Linked DNA regions of Drosophila melanogaster. The protein of the gene in region 2 interacts with the protein of the main gene of each other region in a pairwise test. Each region holds a gene or a part of one and is shown on either strand. Other genes may lie near its edges.

Region 1 (7,806 bases), on a different chromosome or scaffold from region 2:
GCGCAAACGACGCACGTATATATGTATGTGGCGTATTGGAAATGCGTAAAAAATGCCGCTCGTTGATTTTTCAGCTAGCAACCGACTCCACCTGCGCATACATACATAGGCACGTACATACAAACGACGGATGTCTTGTTTGTCTCTTTGTAAACACACAAAAAGCACACTTTTCACAACGTATAGCTGCTGCTCTTTGCTTTTCGCTCGGCGATTGCGTAAACTTGCCGCCCGCTTTTTTCCCACCTAACATCAAAATATGTACACACACTTGAGGCCACCCATACCTTTACTCCTGTGTGTGTGCGTGCGTGTATGCGCGTGTGCATGTGTGTTGGATGAGCGTGTTCCAAAATAAAAACCTTATATTTATTTATATGCCATTTAGCTGGTTAAGCTGATTTTCCGCTCACTCTGCTATTGATTTTTATTACTACTAATTCTCGCTCTCTCTTTTGCTGTTTATATTTTCGCCGTTGGTTATCAAACTCGAACTGTTTTTGTTGTTCTTTTTTTTCAGTCTTTTTTTTTTGCACACAACACGTTTTTCGCTGCGTGTTTGTGTGTGTATATTATTTTTCTGTTCGTCTTGTTTATTTTTATTATTTTGCGTACCTTGTTGGAAAAAATCGTTGGCTGTTGCAATTTATGAAATCTCTCGATATGCACGTAACACTAGTAATTGGGCAATAATTTAAAGCCGATTTGTGCACTTTTTCAGCGATTTTAATGCGGTTTTCCCGATTCTTATTGCTTCAGCGCGGTGAAGGAGAAGAAGAAGAGATCAGTTCGAGCAAAATGCTGGCAACGCTAGCGCCCGAAATCAGGCATGGCCCGTTCGTGGTCTGGCAACGCCGCGTAACAGCTGTTTTCAGCCGCATTTCGATTTTGTAACAGTTTGCATATATTTTCGTTCTATTTAATTTTTCAAATAAAACTATCGAAAATGCAAAGTGTAACACGTTTGCTGAGCACAACGCTGACTATACAAACGCCGTTTCGCACGGCGCCGGCGTTTCTGCAGCAATTGCGCGGCAAAACCAAAGTGGTGGAGAAACCAAAACCTGGTGCCGGACAGCAATTCCGACGAACCGTGCACTTTCCGGAGAAGTACACCGTTGAGCCGCTGAAGATCACCCATTTGGCTGGTCGGGATCCCGTCTCCGGTCGCTTGGTGGCCAAGGGCATTGGCGGAGGCATCAAACAGCAGTATCGCTGGGTTAAATGGGTGCGGGATGGTCCCACGGAGGGCGCCCAGGAGGAACTGGTACTCGAGGTGCTACGCGATGGCTGTCGCACCGCCAAAGTGGCCCTGGTTGCCGTCGGCGATGAGCTGAAGTACATCCTGGCCACCGAGAACATGAAGGCTGGCGATATCCTCAAGACCTCGCGCTTTATTCCTAGGATTCCGGGTAAATTTACTTACTGTTACTCATCGGGAGTATTAAACGTTTTCTAAGTAATCCTCTGAGTATAGTCTTAAACTGAGCATGGAATCTAGAAATTTTACTGGCTCTGAAACAACCAGTTATGCCAATATAATTTTTTTTTTTTGTATGATCCCATAGTGCGTCCCAACGAAGGCGATGCCTATCCATTGGGCGCCTTGCCCGTGGGCACACGCATTCACTGTCTGGAGAAGAACCCCGGCCAGATGTGCCACCTGATCCATGCCGCCGGCACCTTCGGCACCATTCTGCGCAAGTTCGACGAAAAGGTGGTGGTGCAGCTGCCCTCGAAGCGGGAGTTCGCCTTCCAGCGCACCTGCATGGCGACGGTTGGTCGCCTGTCCAACCCGGAACACAACAAGGAGCATGTGGGCAGTGCCCAGCGGATGCGGGAGATGGGCAATCGACCACGTTCCGGTCTGTGGAAGCGCAAGGAAGGCAAACACGGACGCAAGATACGCCGATTGCCGCCCATGACCACCATATCGCCACCGGCTCCGCCCAAGGAGGAGGCCATCAAGTTGACGCTGCCCCTGTGAGGTTTTTCCTTTAATTTCTATGTGTCACACAATATATAACTAGAACTAGAGATACAGAGCTATTTGCGCGTTTTCTTCATCGAGAAACCGGTGCCGTGGAAGCTCTCCGCATCGGAAGCGTCCGCATTGCCAGCTACGGCATCATCTTCTTGGCTTCTATCACTGATAGGCCGAATGTTGCGATCGAAACGGATGAGTCCAAACTGGAAATCATAGTCTGGAACGCCGCGGGCTAGCACCTTCTTAACGACCGGCGTTTCCAACTGGCTTTCCTTCTTCTTCTTACCATCGAGACGTACGCCGGAACCCTTGAAGGTCTCCACGACCTCTTCGAGTATGGCGTTGGTGGCTCCAGCGATTTCGCCGCCAACAGTTCCAGCAGCACCCTGCTGCCCAGAGCCCGATGCCTGCGTTTCGGAGTGATCCTTGTAGCCGACTGGCGCCTCAAATTCCACATTCATGTCGCACTCAATGATGCTGACTGCATTGCCGGGCTTTGTCTCCAGGACACACAGTTCGTAGACCTTCTTGTTGTACTTAATGGCTATGACATCGCCCCTGGTGAGGCAGGCAAAGTTGCGCAATGCATTCTCCAGCACCGCCTTGGGATTGGTGATGTCCAGGAAGTCGGTGCTGTGCGGTTGAAACTTTGAGAAGGTGGCCACCGGCAGCGAGACACTCTCGATGTTGAGTATGTCGCCCTCACCCAACAGCAGGTTTTCCATCATCCAGTGGGGTAGATAGCATTTGCCCTCGTCGGCCACAAACTCGAGTACGCCGGCATGCGAGGATCGCGATTTCTTGACGTTGGTCAGCTTGAACAGCATTGGATACTCGACATTCAGGCGGGTGAGCGTGTCCAGCGCCGAGGGAGGCATAATAACTGTGGATGGAATGTGTTGTTCACATAATTTCTGTCCAGCCTACACTCGTAACTCACTCTTTCCGCCCTTTTCCACGTCGGTTCGCTCGTTTCCTGGCAACATGGATACGGAGAAGCACTTGTAGTTGGCATGAAAATTGCGTCCCTCCGGGAACATCATGTTGAAGCCGCTGAAGTGGAACATTCTATGTGTGCTGGGCTCTCCGTGCCTATGGATTCTTTTCGATTTAAACTGCCTCAAATGACCCTTTATTTCTCAAAGGGGGGAGGCTAAAATTTTATCTTTTGTTTTATTTTTTTTTCTATTTTGTTTGTCACGGCGGGGGCAGTGTGACCAGAACACCATGTAGACGTAACTTTTTCGCCCACAGGTGGCAGCACTGTGTGGGGTTGCGGCACAAGCTAAGTTGTGGCACGCATATTTCGCTAAAATCCCAAGCGCGTGGCGTACAACAAAAAGTAGCAACTCGAGCTATCGCAGTGGCGAGTTATCGGCACATCTCTAACAAACCCAGCAAGCCGGTGGTTGCGCGCGACTTCGTCCCGCTTAAAAAAAAATTGAATAGACGGGTATATTGATTCGAAAAAGTGCTGCTGATCAAGTGAGTACCCATTTCGGGGCAGCAGCTCCAACTGTTTCCGCTACTCAAAATTGGCTGTCAGCAGCTGCGGTTTGCTGGTCAACTGCACCACTCGATCCTGGCGAGCTTTTTTGTGCGCGCGTGTGTGTGTGTGTGTGCAGGATATGCTGCCTGTATCCTTTTAGTCTGGCTGGCGCCGCGTGTTTTTCGCGTGGGTGTGATAAAAAAAAAGTGTGTATGTCGATGCCCACATGATTGCCAATACTTTTTTCGAACCAAACACACTAAGCAAAAGACCGAAACGAGCAACAAATGCAAAATGTTCGAATAGAAAAATCAATAAGCTGGCCAATCGATTGGTTGGTTTGTTCAAAGGCGGGGTGGTGGCCAAGTGGCTGGAAAAAGTGTTCTCCAGCTTCCAGGTCGAAAGATCTTTTACGACATACAGAAATACAGCAAAATGTATTGTTTTTGCCAAGTACAGTTACATTTTAAATTTTGCAAAACAGTTTGACAGCCACCGTTTTCGTGTGCAGCTGTTTTCGAGTCTCTGTTGTGGTTGTTATTGTTGCTTCGCAGCTGCAGCCACACCAAAAACAAGAACAACAACAGAAACACCGAACAGAAGGTGAAAAGAGCGAGAGGATGCGCACTCTCCCGCTCTCTTGTCTCTTCTGGCAGCTTCCAGACACTCCCCTCGCCATCATGCTCCCCACTTTCTTCGCCTTTCTTTCGCTCTCGCCCTAACTTCCCCACAACAAAGAGCCCCACCCCCCTCTATTGTGAAATTTACCCATCTTTTGTCTTTGTCATGTAAAACGTATTAAAATCGAGAGAATATGAAATTCCAGTGACTCACAAGCTGGCTTCAAATAATGAAGCCTAACTTAAGGCGTCAGTTGCATCCTTGCAAATTTTTGTAAATTCATTTAATAAGCGCTCTATGGCCCAACATATTCCAGTTTCCAAAAGTTTTTACTTATAAGTGGACTCACAACGATTTCTGTTTTTGATTTTAAAGATAACCTCTTTTCGAGAATCAAAATGTTGTTTATATTGCACTTCCGCTAAAAACTTAGTTTACTTTCTGTGTAAACTTATCAAAATTATTTATAAATATTTCTGGGAAAATCCACTTTTCGTTATCATGACACTTGCTTACGCTTTGCAAAGCTAAAGAAATATTGTGAAATGAAATCGCCTGCTCTTTTGAAAATTCAAATTAGAATACAATCGTTTATAGCCAAGTCGCACTGTGATGAGCAAAGTACTAAGGGTAGAAGAAAAACTCCGGCATCTTGTTGTGTACGTACAGTTTTTGCGTCTGGGAACTAAATTTAACAAGCGCACAGCCAACGAAATGGAGCAGCTTTTCCGATAAGCATTTAAACTTTAAAATAGCCCAACGACACAAGCAGCAAAATTCCCAAAAATCTGTGTATACGCATGCTGCAGAATTTCGAAGAAAAAAAAACATTTCGTTTTTCGTAATTTCCGAACATCAGATCTTTGCGCTTACGTCAAGCAAAGAAATTATACATTTTTTGTTTTCAGCACAACGTGATATCACGGCGTGGATTTCGTTTTGGATTGCTCTGGGTCATGAATGAGTTGGTTTGGGTTCAAAGTGGGCGGTGGGTGGCAGCAACCCCGCAAGGTCATAGCGTGTACACACTCGGCGCCGCACGGAGTGAGTGTGAGTGCAAAGTGGACCGATTCCCATTCCGATTCAATGCATCTTTCGCTCGGATGGCACCTGGTCAAGTGTCTCTCAAACTAAAGTTCTGGATTTCCGTTCAGAAATTATAAGAAATGTCCCCTTTTCAACGAGATTCTATTCATGCAAGTGAGAACACCTGCTTATATAAATATCTTCAGAATTATAAAGAAACTTAGATAAACCACCTACCCCTTTGATTTATTTATCATGAGGTAGTTAGTACCCAATTAAACTATGTATAAATAGTTTAAAATAACTGCTTAGCTTTCAATATTATGTATTTTCAAGTGGCTTTCCTAGCTTTACCTACTTTTTACTACTGAAAATAGTAATTCAATCGATTTCAAGCAGTTCCCAGAAATATTCAATAGCCATATTTGCCGGTTGCCAAGTGCCCAAAAAAATGTATTGGATGGGAGTGGAATTTCTATAGGCACACAGCACAAACATATGTACATACATATATGTATGTATATACATATGTATATGTTCATACATTCATATGTGAAATTCGATGAAGCGTTCTATTCATATTTTTTTTGTGCTCACGTTTTGAATATCAGCCGACAAACTCGTGATTCCATTTTCGGATCGCGTGTGATGGAAAAAACCCAATAAAAACAACACAGCTTCACAGTTTAAACTCTTTTATGAATGCCAAGAAGGTCGTCGAATGGAGAGAGAATGAAAGAATAAGAGCAATAGGTAAAATTTGCCAAACGAGCTTCGCACTCACATTTGTTTACTTCCAGAACTTGTACAGTCACACGTGCTAGAAACGTTGGCACACGTACAGTGGTCGCTCTATAATAACGACAGCTAAACACTTAAGATATATGAACTTAATGTGTGTGAAGAGAGCGCGAAAGTTTGTAATAGAAGTCTGCTTAAAGTATGTTTAAAAAATTAAATATTTTCAATTAAACAATTGGGTAGAAAAAGACGAGAATCATGTTTTTTTTTATCATACATTGCAATAGCTTAAGTGCAACTTATGCTTTTAAAGTTATTGTACTTCCTGGAGCTCTAATTTCTCACACATGCACAACCCAGCGTCGTGTGTTTTTGGGTTATTGCAGTTATTCGTTAATTACTAGAGTGGCATCCCCTTTCACACCTGAGCGCGTTTCCAATTGGATTTGGTTTTAGCCCATTGAATGGAAAACGGGCTGATTCATCTGCACAGTTTGACACTCACTGGAGCGGGTGGCGTTAATTTGAAACGAGTTAGCCCGGATTTGTGTGACGGTGGTGCGACCTTGAACTTGCGGCAGCAACCACCCCCAAACTCACTGGCTGGCGGCTTCAGGAAAACAACAAGTGGAACTCACTGAGCGTGCAGAAAATGCCCGCTTTGGGCCGCGATAATTCGCCCTGTCCGTCGGTTTTTTCACCTCATCCGTCCTTGGAACATTGCGGCAAATTAAATCAATATTAATAGCAGTTTACTGTTTGCAGAGCCAGTTGCAATTGCAGTTGATAGGCGGCAATGTCAAGGTCGCCAGTGACGCGCCCGGTGCATCCGTGCAACTCAAAGAAAGTGCACATAATCAGTGTAAATAGATGAACTGGCACAAGTTTCTGCTGGAAAATAGTGAAAGAAATAATATATTGAAGGATAAGGTGTTCCAAAGTTAAAAAATCAAGCGATTTGAACGTTCAAATTCATAAGTAACTTGAATAACTGTAGAAAATTGAAAAGTGCGCTGTGCGAATTTCACCATCTGAATGTAAAGCTAAAAATTCTAATGCTCTATATACTCTATACTTTATACTTTATACCTTTATAGTTTAAAAGGAGCTTCTTTATAACTTTTACTATGTATTTGTTTCGAGTGCACTTCAGACCTGTGCCATCTGTTGTTGTTTTGCAATTGGCATTCAATCCATTTTAATTCCATTTCCATGTCATGCAATGGCAGTAGAATTCACCCGCCTTCCAGCCACCCCCTTCCCCCTGAACTTCGATCTGTTCGGCCCTAACGGTTCATTCCAATTACAAAATTATTGCCCACCTGCCAGGCAATAACCGTAATTATCCAATGGGCTTAAATTGATTTACTGCCATTCGATTGAAATATGAAAAGGCGCGCTTTCAAATAATTTAAATGTATCAACTAAAATTCCATTTTTTAGTTAGTCTTGTGCATAAGTAATCGTACAATTTTGTATTAACCGGCAAGCAATAACATCACTATAAATTTCCATTTGTTCATCTGTTCAATCGATTGCACATACATATTTCACAATCAACAAACATTTATTTGCATTTGCATTTGCTGGCAAACTATGCACAATTGCGTGTTTGCGTATTTATAGCTCAAAAGTTCAAAATACGCCGCTAAATTGGAGTGGTGATTACCACAAACTCATGATTTTTTCCTACCCATTTCCATTGTGTGGGAATGGAAATGTGCACCCGGTGGGTGGTGCTGGGTGGTGGGTGTTGGGTGTTGGGGCTAAAGCGATGACAAAGCACGCAAATATGGAAATTTCGCAACGAAGCGTCGGCATTAAGCGTGGTGCGACCTTGCCAAGTCGCGGTGTCAGCCTTTGTCCTGGTTACTAAACTCAACCCTATGACCTCTAGCCCCAGCACCACCCACCAACCACCGCCGCCCTCTTGGCGTCATTT
Region 2 (7,442 bases):
GGGGTGCCACGTTACTTACCTTCTTCAACTGGCAGCCACCTAGTGATTTAAGCTCGGCAAAAAATGCTGCCGCACATGAACATGCAACTAATGAGCTGAGTTATTTCCAGTGGGCTGGTGGGGCAGAAGTTACCAGGTTTCTGGAACACGCCACGGGAGCTCAGCTCTTCCGGTGCGGGTGGTTTAAACTCTAATTGAAATTTAGATAGCTGCTACGTGTGCCAGCCGGAAAATCATCGCCAGGTGTCACGGTAGGTGATGAGTTAAACAGCCGGAATGGCGAAATGCGTGCGGAAATTGGCCCCGGAATGCCAAAGGATCAAGTGTCGACACCAAAAGAATTTCCAGGTCAAAACGCTGGGCTGGAGATGGAATGCAATTAAGACAAAGCTCTGAAATTTATTATACGTCTTTAAAAACAGTCAATCTTAAACTGTAATGAAATTAAAGGTACAATGCATCTTAATAACAACCCATGTTAGAAATGTTAGAATTGCTTCTCTTATCAGAGTCCCGAAAATATGAGTTTAATGTGCTTTATTTAAGGAAAAACTAGCGTTTAGCTTGGTAGCTTATATTTGTGTTATTGAAGTAATTACAATATCAAGATGATTTCAGTTCACTAACAAGTATGTATGAAGGAATTATCTGGCATTTCTGAGGCCATATTTCATTATGGAGAGCCCTGCAGCTCGTTTAAGATTTGGCTATTAAAAACGGCGCCATTGATGCGAATATTTATTGTGGCCTGGCTTTTTCATAATGTTGGATTATCTAGGCACATGTCCTGCCAGGATTTATGAGCCAGGAATAGCACACAAGAGGTTGAGAGCGACGCTGCGGGAGGGTTGGCCAAAACCAAAACCAAGAGTCAGCTTTAAGCCGTAAGGAAATTGAAATCTTAAGCTTTATTGTTTTACTGGCCCCTCGTCTTTGCCATTCAGCTGAGGATCTGTGTGTGCTCGACGCGACGCATGCAAAGTGAAGCAGGAAAGTGAATAAAACTGCAGCAAAAGCAATTTTCATAAATATTTAATGGATAATGGCGAAAATAAGCGCAAGGAGCAAGACACATCGGCATGATGAGAGGGCAGGGAAATGGCCGTCCGTCTGCTTCTACCCATTCCCACTACCATTTTCCGCACCATCTCCGTTCTCGATGTATTGTTTTGTTTGTGTAGATATATATGTGCCCCTCTCATACAGGCACTTCACCCACCAACCCACCGTATTGATATGTCAGCATAACATATGTGGGCATTTCCCCGAGTGTGTGTTCGGCAATCTCAGCTTTTAGTTTCGGCCCAAGGCCCAGTGATTCTCATTAAAATTACAACACAAATAAAACGAAGAGGGAAGGTGGATGAGTGGTATCGACTTTTTTGCTTACCTTGTGATTTATTGGCTTACAAGAATTGCTTAAAAGTTGATCATTTTTTTTAAATTTTGTCGATTTGTGTTTTATAAACTACAAAAATTAGTTAGGAAAATAAGTGAAATGCCATAATGATTTACAAAATAATTGAAATATTATTTCCGGAAATCGGCATAACCAAAATGTTAGATACTCCTTTTGCCTGCCGATTACAGCGTATGAAAAGCCGGCGAAATGAGGGTAAAATTCACGCGAAATGGAGCAGCCAGCGAACGTGAGAGCCCGTCCATTGTCTTTATCCTGGCGCTTTTCTGCTCTCTGTTGCTCCTCCTGGTCGCTGGAGTCCTTTAAGTGTGCCCATTACAGACGGCAGAAATCATAACAATAAAAGTGTGACGGGACGGAAGGACAGAGGCGGTTGGCGGCTGGCGGATGGGCGACGGGCTGTTTGGGGGCCAGATAGCTCCCCCCACTTAATCGATGATGATGAATAATTGATTCGCTGCGATGCGCCCAAGCATGGAAATGAAAATGTCGGTGCATGCGGGGAGCGGCTTTCTGCTTCTGTTTCTGTTTAAGTTTCGGTTTCAGTGCTTCCCTTTTCGCACGTGTGTGTATGTGTGCCTGTCTGTGTATGTGTGTCGGCGTGTCCTTCTGTGTGTAACGAATGGCAAATTTCAGGAAGCGGAAATGGCAATTGCAAGCGATGGGAAAAGGCAGCAGAAAGACAACGACTGAGGCAAATGTGAAGTTGTGCGCTAAATGAAATGCCAACACAGCAACACGGCCGTGCAAAACGGAAATAGCAAATGCGAATGACGCTGGATCGTTGGACGGTTGGCTGGCTGGATGGCCGAAAAATGGTGTTGGGCGGGGGTCTTGGGATGACAATGGGTGTCCTGGGCAGAATGGGCAGACAGGTGCCAAGGCAGACAATTTGCCGGTATTTAAATTCTATTTTAAGTTCTGTTCAAGCGCGTCAGGAAGCAAACGTAAGGAAATGGTTGACCGTGAATGGTGGACACGTTTCCCACTAATATGGCTGGAAAGCTTAAGGCTTCCTTTTATATATATGATACATATTATTTAAAATATAACCATAGATTTTATAAAATATTATAAATATTTTATTAACACTCATAATATAAATTGCTTAGTTTTGTTTACTCGCCACACTCATTGATGTAACAAAAATGACAAGTAATTTTGAAGTCATTTCATTTTTCATTTGCTTGGGATTAACATTTTTCTTAAAGGACTTTGAGCGTGCATAAAAAATTATCTTTAGCACCATAAAGAACTATATTCACTGCAATTTAAAATGAAAATAAATCTGATCGGGTTAAATGAAAATCGACTCCAAAAGAAAAAATCCTATTTCATCAAGGAATATTCTCTTATTTTTTCTTTTGAATAAAGTTTCCTTTTCCATTTGACTCTTCACCGTCGTTCAGTCAGGGCTTTTTTTCCCCAGGCTACGTGTTTAAAAATATAATCGTATTGAATATTTAAATGCTCGCCAGGGCAAAAGTCGCCAAATACGCTGGCAAAACTGGACGGGAATCAAAATCAAATGCAATGCCTGCGGCTTCGGCGAATGCTGGCTGCCTGTCAGCCTGGCACAAAATTAGATTTAAATATTTTGGCATTTCCCATCAATTTTCATATAATGCAACCCCATCCTTTTCGCTGGGATGCAGGTCCTGTTGCATGGAGGAATGCTGATAGTGAGTGGGATTCGTCTGTGGCAAGTCATTCCAGCCCTACACAAGCGCACACATCGATGTGGATTGAAAGACAGGCGCACACAACCACACATGCTCAATCATTTATGCAGCAATCAGTGCTGACGTCTTTTCCACACGTACGATTACCGGCATAGAGAATCGAGCCCTACTCTCGGTTATGTGGAGCATATTGGGAATCGAAATTGAGTGCGGGTTAACAATGAGGCAGTTGAGATTGCGGCAGCTTCTCTCGAACTTCTGTTGCTCGTGAGTTTCTTGAATTTAAATCAATGGCCCGGGCATCCACTGCGTATGAGTAATATTATACAAGGATGAACAGGTAATTTAATTTAGCTTTTCGGAACAATTTTTTGTTCACAGAATGCAATCAAAACATGTATGAGATAATATACATTTAAACAATCGTTGTCGAATTATTTATTTTATCATGATCCCTACTTTTTTATAAATTGACAATCATTTAAGTAAACAATCCTTTCAGCAAAACAGAAATAACTCCTTTTTCAAGGTGCAACCGTGAAGGACGACTGCACAAAAACTCTATTGGATTATTTGAAGGTTGAAATCAAATTAAGTCAAGTGAATAAATTGACTTTTAGTGCATATAAAAATCGCAAAAAGCGCAAATAAAAATGAAATAAAATTGCGATGGATAAAAAGTTTAAAAGTGAATCCATAGAAATTCATCGTTTGCTGATGACGAAACATGAAAAAAGGAAACTTAAAATTGGTTATATATACGAAATTAACAAGGGAAATTAAACGATCACATAGCAAAGCATTTTTTTGGAAAGTAGTCATTGCATATATTGCTTTCTGAGAAACTTCGTATAAATTTAAATTATTAAAATAAACCGCTAGAAAAATAAGTTAAAATTTGATATCAATTAGAATGGATAACGACAATATGCTCGACTTTACAGACTTAATCAGCTGCAAGGACTTACCGAACATAACTCTGCACAATATCCGTCCCATTTACAGTATAAAGGTTTTCATGTCCGAACCTAAAAACTCCAATGTCTCTATTGCTGAATTAATCAAACGCCAGGAAGTGTCTGCAGAGCAATGTCGCAAGGCACTTAAAGTCATAAAGGACAGACTTCTTCTGAAAATGGCAGCGTTGCAAGAGCTTAAGAAGTATCTGCTGGATTTGCATTCGGAGATCAAAAAGCCCGGTGCAGGGACTCGTTTTGTGACCAATCAGGAGAAAGTTAAATTGCATTTCCTAGACGAGACGGAAATCAGAGAAGTCGAATTGTCTGACGCCGTAGAACGTTGCAATATAAAGCTGAGCTCGCTTTATTGCGAAATCCTGGCTTTGGACAGCGACATGGGCAGTGTCGCCTATTTGGAGAGGGTCGCCCAGATCAACAAAGACTTTATCATGGATTGGCATAAGACTCAGAGGCAGAATAAGACAAGCAACATCCATTGTTCCGGCCAAGGCGTCAAAAAGACTTTTTAATTTGGACTGTTTTAAACTTTACATGTTTCACTCATATGCAATTATTATCGCACTATTCTGGAAAATAAATATTTATCGCGAAAGCAAATACAAAATGTTTTATTACACCTCTCCGAGATTGAATAGTTGAATTTCCAGCAATGAAATTAGCCTTAAGTAATGTGCTCCTCTCTTAAATCCTATCCCTAGGAATCTTTTTTCCCCCTCGACTTTTCCTGCTTCGTGTCCTTCCGTTTCCCTTTTCTCCGTTTACCTGTCACTGACAGCCCGCTGGCCGCTTCATCTTCATTCCCCGTCCATGAATAATCCCTGCGACACTTGCGTTTCATGGCTTTGCATAGTTAGGACCTGTTAAAGGAGGGACCTGGTCCTGGACAGTGTGCTCAGGCATCTCCTCTCTTAGCCAGCGCTTAGCTGGACCTGGGGAGTTGAATCTGTAGCTGCACAGCAAAAAAAATTTTAAAGGTTTCAAAAAGATCTCAAAAAAATGTCCCAAGAGTTTTAAACTCTATATAGAATAGTCTTGAGTTACGTGTCCCGTTCAGGTAGTATTTTTAATACCATTTGCTGGCAAGTTACTAATATTTTCTCTGAGTGTTCAGTTAGCTGGGAACCGGAGCAGGAAGCCAACAACAGGTTGCGTGCCAATGCAGTTTTTCATCGTGAAATGTCGGCGCTGATAGCGATTGTAATTATTATGCTGAACTGCGGGTATGTATGTATGTATGCAAGGGGATTCGCTTTTACGAGAGGCAGAATGGTTCTATTTCAGGTCCTGGCCACTCTTACTTGTTTCCCATTCTTTTTCCGTCTTGTTGCTATCCACTCTCCGACGCATAAACACCGCTAGTTATGCAATAAATAAAATGCAATTGTTGCGTCACAAAAGCTACATAGATGGCAGTGCGTTGGTCAGAAGGGGGGATTGGCTTTTTGGCTCTGGGCTTTTGCCGCCATGTTTGCGAACAACAGCAAGATGGCGCCCCGCATCCGTTATAGCCGAACATCCAATTCCGCGCTCACTTTCGCTGCCTCAGTTGCTGGGCGTCTGCTTCACTTCCGGTTGGAAAAGTTGTTGCATTGTGTGCGTTTTCGTGGAGGTTCCACATCCGCTTTACCAGCTCTCCCAGCTACTCTAGCTTACTTGGCACCGCTTTAATTTGACAAACCATCGCATTTAACGGCCCGGCGTAGTTTATGCTCCTCGAACAGGCAGCGACATCAAGGCGAAAGGTCAAGGAGGTGGCATAAATAATGCAGCGAACAACGAAAACGACAAAGTTGCCAAAGACTTGGACTAACCGGCTGCTGTTGCTGCTGTTTCTGGCCAAAACTCACTTGGCCAGCATAGAAATTGCAGTTTACAGTTGCTAATTGAGTGTGCCTAGTCTGTGCAGGTGGCCTAATGTTGGTAATTAGTGTGAGCCAACTTTGCCAAAAAGATTCCGGCACAAAGTTGCCCAGGATGGGCTTTTGTCAATTGCATAAGTTGCCGTCGTGTCCGGAAAATCTATGTATGAGATTGGATAACAATGAATTATATTTAGCAAACGAATTTCAATTAAAAAAAACACCTTAATTGAGAATGATTCCAGTCTTAGTATAATTTGCTAGGTGGTAAAGGCACCGCTTGAATTTAAGTTACATATTGACTATATTATTATTTTACTCACCCTGATTAGCGTTAAACACCAAAGTGGTTCACATTTTAGCACACTATTATCCTTAGCAATATGATTTAGTGCTTTGTGGAATCTGCTGAATATACATGGAATGACTTTCAGGTGGAGCACATTAAAGCCCATACAGTGATATGCACTCTTGGCTAACTGAAATAGCATGTATAGGCCTTGCTGTGCATTCGGTTTAAACTCGATTAAAGCCACGCACAACGACATCGGAATAATGCAATTGTTTCGGGTATATAGCTGACCAGTTTATGGGCAATCCGAGAGATTTCGAGCGTCTGCAGGCAGGACCAAGCGATCCAGGACACGTGTGCGTGCTTTGTCTGGCCAGAGAGGACAACGAGGAGAGGTTGCCACATGTGGCAAATTAACTTTAAATTAAGCAATTAATTTAATTAGAGCACGGCGAGTGCACAGTGCGACCCCAAAGATTTGCCGCACACGCAACAGTTGCAATTAAGCAGCCTTCGCACACAGATGTCCCCACACAAATACAGGCGTAGTCACAGTAGTGCACACCCCCACTCACAGATACACATATTAACGTAAAACAATGCCGTTTCAGCTGCAATTGCATTTTAAGCGCATGCGGAAATTACAAACTCAAATTGATAAAGCAAAACCTGTGCACATGTGTGGCCCTGGCATATGGCATATGGCAGTAATAAAAATCTGGTTATATAAGGTGAAAAATTGGCTTACGCCTGGGACTCCAGCATGGCCAAAGAAATCCGAGTGCCAGCACATATGAAATCGGAATGCAATTCATTTCTCCATTAACCAATTAAACGCAATTCATCAACTGACGTTCGCAATTTGCAAAAAAATAAAGAAATAACAAAACTATTAATAAGGGATGTAAAAACTTTTACAATTTTAAATTTCCACTGACAGTCAACATTGAAAGGGTTTTTCAGTCAAACGGAAATTTGTTTTCAATTAAGAGTTGATTTAAATTTAACTGCCTTTTCATGACGAACGCATGAAAAATCAGTTATAAATACCTTCTACGGTAATATGCAGACGTTAAACAAATGTATGCTAAAACTTTTAATTTAAAACACCATAAGCTTCTTAACTTTCCTTTGCTTGCCAAATTCTCAACGAAAATCACAAGTCTTACTTTAATGAATATTCTTGCACTATTAAGTTCAAACAAAAGT
Region 3 (7,385 bases), on a different chromosome or scaffold from region 2:
TAAAATAGCAATCTGCTATCCTGGCCAATTTTTAAAGCACATGAATACGCCGCTAGGTGGAGCTATGCTTTCAATTCTTGTTTTATATTTTCTGGTGGAATGACTAGTTCGTCCTTGCTGAGTGGGCTAATGAAAAGCGTTCAAGTGAGATTTACTTAAACAAATTCTAAGACACATTCCCCTGGCAGTGACCAACATGGCTGTGGAGTCAGATGTCTTGGCTCCCGAGGGCAGCTTAGGATTCTGCTTCTGTTGCAGCCAAACATTTTATTTGCATTTCCACAGTTGTCCTTCACTCGCTTTGCAATTGAGTTTCTCATTTGTGTCCTTTTTACCCGGCTTGTACGAGCTCTGAATAATGGAGGTGCTGCCCGCTTGTGGAAAATGCTGTGATTTAAATATTTAAAAAGTGGCAGAAATAAAATGGAAGACAGCTTTTGTTTAAATGCCTTTTATGTACAATATTGAGCCAGCAGGCAATCGAGCAATAAATCAATGCAAAATAATGCATGTGCATATCGAACGTTTTTCTTGTTTTGGCTCAAGGTTGTATTGTTGTTTATCACAAAACGGTTTAAGCACCGCTTTGCGGCACCTTTAGTTAAAACGTTTTTCCTTATTCTACTGCATACTTAGTCGCTACATTCAAAAATGTATTGAAGGCAGTTTCGAATTAAGATTTAAGATATGGCGGGCTTAATTACAAATATAGCCACATTTGTTTGATTCTTTTGCTCAATGCTAGAAATTACTTTATTTGTATGCATGTAGTGCCATAAATCCGATAAATATTCAGTTGTATGTATTTAAACGACATTTCCTTGATATTAAAATGTTATATCTGCTACTGCTTTTTATTTGTGAAATCATTTCCAACCCGGTTTTTTGCTCCATGGCATTACAAAGTGTCCGCGGGGCGGTTTCGGCGCCGTGGCATCCGGTGGTCGGCGACCGGAAATGGCATTAATGCCTAAGCTCGACGCCCTTTGCGCCATTATAATTAAATGCGCTGGCGACTTCTGCACTCCGTCTGAAAAGTGCACCCTGCAAATAATTAGCACGGCTCGGAATCCTGTGAGTAATTAAGGTAAGTCAGCTGTTGCCTCCGTCTCGAGTGGGGCCAAAAAACGGAAAGAGCAAAAAGTGTCGTCCATTGTCAACGGAAATTAAAGTTTAATGGGACAACGTTTTTTTTTTTTAGAATTTCCAAGTGAGAAATAAGCTTGTCCGGCTGTTTTTACGCTGACCAAATGTTCGTAACATTTCAAGCTATTAAACTAGAATTTTACCAACTTGATGGCACACACAAGTGAGAAAACTGTTGTAAAAACATGGAAAATTCTGAGGGAGTCGGAGTTTTTCCAGCAGTGGCATGTGAAAAGCAATTACAGAAGTGATTTAGAAAAATGCAAATGTGAAAATATTTAGAGAACTATTTCCATTGGGAACTGGCATAGTTGAAAATTCGTTGTATTTTTTCTTTTTCAAGTGAGAGTGGAAATAATTTTAATAATTTTGTGTGCCAAACACCGGCGCAGATGCGGTTTGTGACACTTCCTTTAATAAACAACAGCGTTAAATAATTGAATTTCCACTCTCCATCGCTAAGCCGCTATTAATGAATTTTTAATTAGCGTGCTTAATTTAATTAGTTAATTGATAAGGGAATCTTTTTTATGTACTTTGCTTTGTTAATCTCTGTGATGTATGGAGCTTTAATGTGTCACTACAACATTTGTCCTTTATACATCGACAAACAAAATGCGTATTTATTTTGCAGTTAAATGGCTTGAATTCGTGATTCTTTCGTTCACTTTTGTTTGCTTATCTCACACAAAGCCCTTTATCTGGCCACCTTGTTTCGCTCTCTAGATTACGTTCATTTATGGGCCGTAAATAATTAGTTAATTGAACCGGAATTATCGGAAAACGTTAAAAGCACTGTCTAGTCAAAAATAAAACACATGGATTATGGGATTTCTTTCTTTACTTTGAACTTATATTAAATCATGATTTTTTGTTCTTAGCGCCTAATCAGTAAAGCCGCTTCCTTTTTAGTTAAGCTTTGCATTTGCTAGCAGAACACAGTTCGATTGCCACTGTTTGAAAACAGAACGTAGCTCGTAAGTGCGATAACGCTCTAAATTAGTCACGACACGTACATATTATTTCACCGCACTTTTATAGACTGCACCTCCAGCCAAATCATCACAGCGGCTATAGCCACATATATAGCCACGATCATGAAGATCTGCAGGGGACTGGCGGTGAAAACTTGGACCACCAGCATCACGGTTCCCAGAATAAACACCCCGGACAGGAAGCTGACCATCAGTATGGTGGACCAGTTGCGAAACCAGGCGTGCTTTTTATCCGGCGGCGGTACAAAAATCGGTTTCAGCGGGCTGTACTCCTTCTTATACTGAGTCTCGTATCCGCTGGTAAAGTCAACCTCATCGTGGTACGTCCCCGGACCCGAGGTTCCAGCCTTAGTCTCATCCGTGTCCATTTCAAAACGCGTTCTGCTCTCGACTAAAGAGCGATTCGCTGGTCTCCGGGCATTTTCAGCGGTTTTTTCCTTCCCTCTTTTTCATGATTACCAATCAGTTTGGGGTCTGGGTTATTATCGCCACGGCAGAAGGTGGTAATTGAGGCAACAACAAGGCAAACAGTGAACCGTCAAGAGCTGACAATCTTCTTTTTGTTGCTTGTGACTCAGATAAGATAACTATATAAGTCTGAGAAAACCCGTCAAACGAGAGCGGAGAAGAGTCTCAAAATGACAAGAAAATCACATTGAAGTAAGAGATTGCGAAGAGAGATCAATTTGTTCTACGTTATCAATTTATGCTTACTTACGAATCATCAAACCCTATCAACTTTGATAACAATCTATTAAAAGCGATAAATGTTTTACATTCATATATTAGGCATTTCAGTACTTATATACTTCTGGCACTCTGTTTCCGTCTTGAGAGATTCTCTTTTTTGTCAGTTTCCCCGCTTTCAGCTATCTGAAGCTCCTTCTTCAGTTCCGTCGCCGGCTTTAAAGGCTCCTTCTTGCCTTGCCTAACCAAGCGACATTGAGGGCTTTCTTCGCCGTGTTTCGTTCTTTTCGACAAACAGCAGTGCTTTGCGGATCATTTAGCTTGAACAACCCACAATGCCACCAATTTCAGCGTATTTTTTACCTTTAGAGATCATGTTTTTAATCAAATTTCTTTTTTCGACGGTAAAATGCTTGCCGCGACCCATGACTAGAGAACTTTTGGTCTTCGTTTGGAAAAAATTCAATTAAAACCTTTAATACAACTCCTTTTTCAAAATTTGTCGAAAAAAACCCAAAGCAATCACTCTATTATTCAGCAAATACGTGGTCAGTGCTATTTTTGTTACCGCCTCATTTCGCGCACTTTTGCAGCAAGTGCCCAAAAACAAAAAGAACCTTTACATTGAGAGACCATAAATTTCTTGCTCAGAGAGCCAACATATGGTACTTATTATTCATGCAATCTGACTTTAAAAAATATAAACATTTAATAATTATTTTTAGGAAATGAACTTTCCACCTCCAGTAGTGCTATTATTTTAACCGCAGCTGTATATATTTCCGTCTTGAGAGGTTCTCTTTAATGTTGTCTCTTAGTTTCAGTCAAATTCTCTGAAAGCTTTGGTTTTTACTTACAAATACCCTTTCTAGGGTTCTTATGGTGAGTTTACTCCTCTCAGAAATTTTCTTAAATAATTATTTTATTAGTTCATATTTTTTCTTACACTAATTTTAGTTATTTATCTAATGAATGTACTTGTGATCTCAGACTTACTTTACAGATACCTCTTATATAGTTTTACTTAGGACGGTAGTCCCTTAAAAATTTGTCAATATATTATCATTTTTAATGGTGCAAGCTGCATACGATCCGAAAGATTTTAGTACAGTGTGCCTCCGTTCTTGAATTCGATTCCCTTGAATATTTTTTCATGTTTGCAGATGAGTGCCTTCATCCAGTTTATACAGAGCCTTCAAGCTGAAAAGATCAGAGTGCCTCCAAAAAAATGGGGTATAATACTTATTTGAAAGTATTTCAAAAGCATTAAAGTGATAATTTGTTTATTTAAAGTGAAGAAAAAGATGTCTTATTGGATAGAGATAGTTGCACCCTCAACGGAGTGGACCAAGAACAAACCGATGCGATTCATAACGACTCTAATATGGAAATATTAACTGAGGAAGACTCAAGGCCATATACTTTTTTGCAAAACTTTAATTTCGTTGGCTTATGTGTTCTTTATAATTTTTGCATGCTTTTAATTGTTCTGTCCATATACATCTACAAACGATGGAATTAAAAAAGGGATTTTAAAATGATTTTGAGTACGTATCAAGCGCTAGTTAATTTGATTGCATTATGTATCCTGCTTAGCTGGGCTAACTTGTTTGCATTAGAAGAAAATGAAAGCTGCCTTCTGTCCTAAATGTACTTAAACTTCAGTCCACTTTATTGCCACCAAACAATTTAAGTTGTTGACAAAGTCATCAGCATGCATCAGTCAGCGGTTTTTAAAGAAAGTGCAGAGTCGGCGGAAAAAAATATGAGAAAACTCGCAGTTGCCTCTGTGGCATTTTTAGTTCCTTCAGCGCATCAACAAAACTTGTACATCTTGCTCGATGATCTACTCCGGATCTTGTTTACCGATTGTGCAACAATGTGTTCACTTTTAAATAATATCGAAAATCAGACTGTCTACTGTTTGTGTTTTTTTAATGGGAGATTGTTACTTTTATTTTTCGAAAGGTACACTAAATTCACTTTATCATTTCGATGCATTCGAATTAGGCAATTACTTACCCAGTGTGAACTTTTCATATCAACCCGGCTTATAGATAACCCCCTCGAGTTTGGCCCAGTTCTTCGCACCTTGGCCAGGGCTCATTATTCAAAGCTAAGACTCAGATTAAATGGAAAGCGATAGAATGACTGGCGGAGTGAAAAATGCTAAGAAAGAATCAAAAATTCATGAGGCGGTGCGCGCGAATTATAGCGACTTACTTGATGGTTTAAAGGCGCCCTTGCCGCGGCTATTCAGCTTTTTAGCTTGCCTGTTTTGCCCGCCAACATGCGTTTGTTGTTGCAAACTTTTTCCATCAAAAGTTTCGGTTTTCGATACGCCTGCTGCTGGCAGCTACCGATCCCCATTACCCATTCCTTATTCCCCGCTCCCATTTTCCATCCCCCCATCCATTCTGAAATTCCGCTCCAGCTTCAACTGGGAAAAGTGCCACTTCCGCTTTGCGTCAGTGCACACGGCTGCCGAGCACAAAAGTGTGACTGAAGTGGCTGAAACCAGCTCGATTTTCCCAGCCCATTTCCCGCCCACTTTGGTGGCGGCTGCCGAGGCTCAGGTGTTAATTAACTTGGGGGCCGGCACTAAATTTTAAAACTGCAACTTGCCCAAAATTAATGAGACTGACGTTTGTGCGAGTTACGAGCGAGCTGGAATTATAATTTCGGCATGGCGGACAAACTGCAGAGCAGGCTAACTTTCAAGTGGTCGGCAAGGATGCCCGGAGATCATGAATATTCATCAGGACGAGACGCAGCGTCCAATGTTAAGCCGTAAGCTATTGGTTGTTTCTGTCTGTTATACACGTGCTTAATAACATCTAAGCCTCTGTAAGCTATATTGAATCAGGTAGTTAATACGGATAGTAATATTTATAGAACAATGAACATTTGAAATCCACCCCAGCACCCCGTACTCGCAAAGTAAAGGGATATAGTAGATTCGTTCGCTGCACAGTTTGTAACAGGTAAGTGTCTTATGCATATTCATCAGGATCTTTTCCGTGTCTATCTGTTCGGTTCATCTGTCCGTTTTAGCGCTTTAATTTTGGGAACTGTAAAAGTACGAAAGTCCAGGTAGGCAGGCTTTTCAGAAGATTGCCACGCCCACTCTAACAACCATAATTGTCACGCCCACACACAAAATAATCTCGACAATCGTAGATCCGGCTTATCAGTTAATCTTGTTAGCCGAATGTAAAATGCATATTCAATTTTGGCATATATAATTCCATTTCAAGTGCTTCTCATGTTTGCCTGCGTGTTTGATTAATGAAGCCCCCAAGTTAATTACGCAACTGTTTGAAATTCACTTCCCGTTGATTTCTGTACGCCATCGATCTTTGGCCGTAGAGTGTCAACGGGGAATGTCGGCCAACAACTGGCAAAGGAAGACGTGTACAAGGACGAGTATAGCTGCCAAATGGCAGCAGAAGGCAAGTGAACTGTTGAGCTCAGTGCATGACACTAAATCAATTGGGCCAAGTGTCTGTTGTGACATATTCAACTAATGATGACGGATCTGGCATGCGAGGCACTGACTCACACACATATGGCCACCAGTCGGAGGACGAAGGATTAGTTCTGAGTCCTGGTCTTGTCCTTGTGCGACACCGTAACTAATTTCCCTGCCGGTCACTTGTTGTCTCCACATCAAGTTAAGCGTGCAGGACAACTTGTCACGGACACAGCTCCACTTCTCTGCTGAGTTTACACGCCATGCCGGTGTGCTCATTATTTATTAATTGCATTTAATACTGATGCAAATAAAGCACATCTCGGTAACAATTTTGCCAGGGTCACTGGATTGACTGGTATTTAAATCACTCTTCGCTGCCGGTTTTTTTAAGCCCTTATGGCACGAAATTGAATTAGAACCGATCGTTTATCTCATAAATTAGGCATACTAATTTCCACTTTGTTTCCATTAAAAACATAAATAATTCGGCTCGCAAAGTGCGGTTTTACGATTTTTTTTTTCATAAAATGTTAGATTTTAATTATCATAATTGGCAAAGGGGGCCTTAAATGAAAAATATTCGCAAATGTGTCCATATAAATCACTAACCGTGCCAAATTATAGTTGTTATTCAATTGAATTTAAAAAAAATCAGCAGACGCTGGCGTCCAAATTAAATTAGTCCAAAATATATTTAGAGTTATCAAATCATACCCATTTCATAAAAAATTGTTTTGATGGAATATAAACAATTTTCAAGTATAGAACAATTTAAAATGATTTTAAGGCCAGTTGAAGTTCATGTGGTAAAAAACGAAACATTTCACTGGTTGCACAGAATTTATCTGACGACTAATTGCAGTCATATGTTTTATTTAATTGCAAATTAAATTTGCTCTTTACAACATGCACAATCCGCTTAGTGTCTAATGCTCATTAAATGAAATTAACTTTCCAAATATTTATTGGTGGGGTTTTAGCGAAAAAAATTAACACAGCTAAACAATTTAAAAGTGCGTATGTATTTTTTCGAATTCTATGTGCTGACAAATTGAGCATGATGCTCGAAATTAATTTAAAGC

Evidence for each region.
Region 1: the proteins of CG15124 (region 2) and Ufd1 interact in a two-hybrid assay, tested with the Drosophila melanogaster proteins (one large-scale study listed by BioGRID).
Region 3: the proteins of CG15124 (region 2) and CG15152 interact in a two-hybrid assay, tested with the Drosophila melanogaster proteins (one large-scale study listed by BioGRID).

Annotation. Positions count from the first base shown.
Region 1 is NT_037436.4:11,119,995-11,127,800, forward strand, and holds Ufd1 (ubiquitin fusion-degradation 1-like), read right to left. Parts: upstream 3,223-7,806; 5' UTR 3,055-3,222; coding exon 2,928-3,054; intron 2,871-2,927; coding exon 2,047-2,870; 3' UTR 1,988-2,046; downstream 1-1,987. Other genes in the region: mRpL2 (mitochondrial ribosomal protein L2), read left to right, coding at 947-1,412, 1,569-1,987.
Region 2 is NT_033778.4:19,639,023-19,646,464, forward strand, and holds CG15124 (uncharacterized protein), read left to right. Parts: upstream 1-3,924; 5' UTR 3,925-4,015; coding exon 4,016-4,591; 3' UTR 4,592-4,676; downstream 4,677-7,442.
Region 3 is NT_033779.5:18,109,807-18,117,191, reverse strand, and holds CG15152 (uncharacterized protein), read right to left. Parts: upstream 2,646-7,385; 5' UTR 2,510-2,645; coding exon 2,171-2,509; 3' UTR 1,972-2,170; downstream 1-1,971. Other genes in the region: CG44476 (uncharacterized protein), read left to right, coding at 4,057-4,061, 4,122-4,350.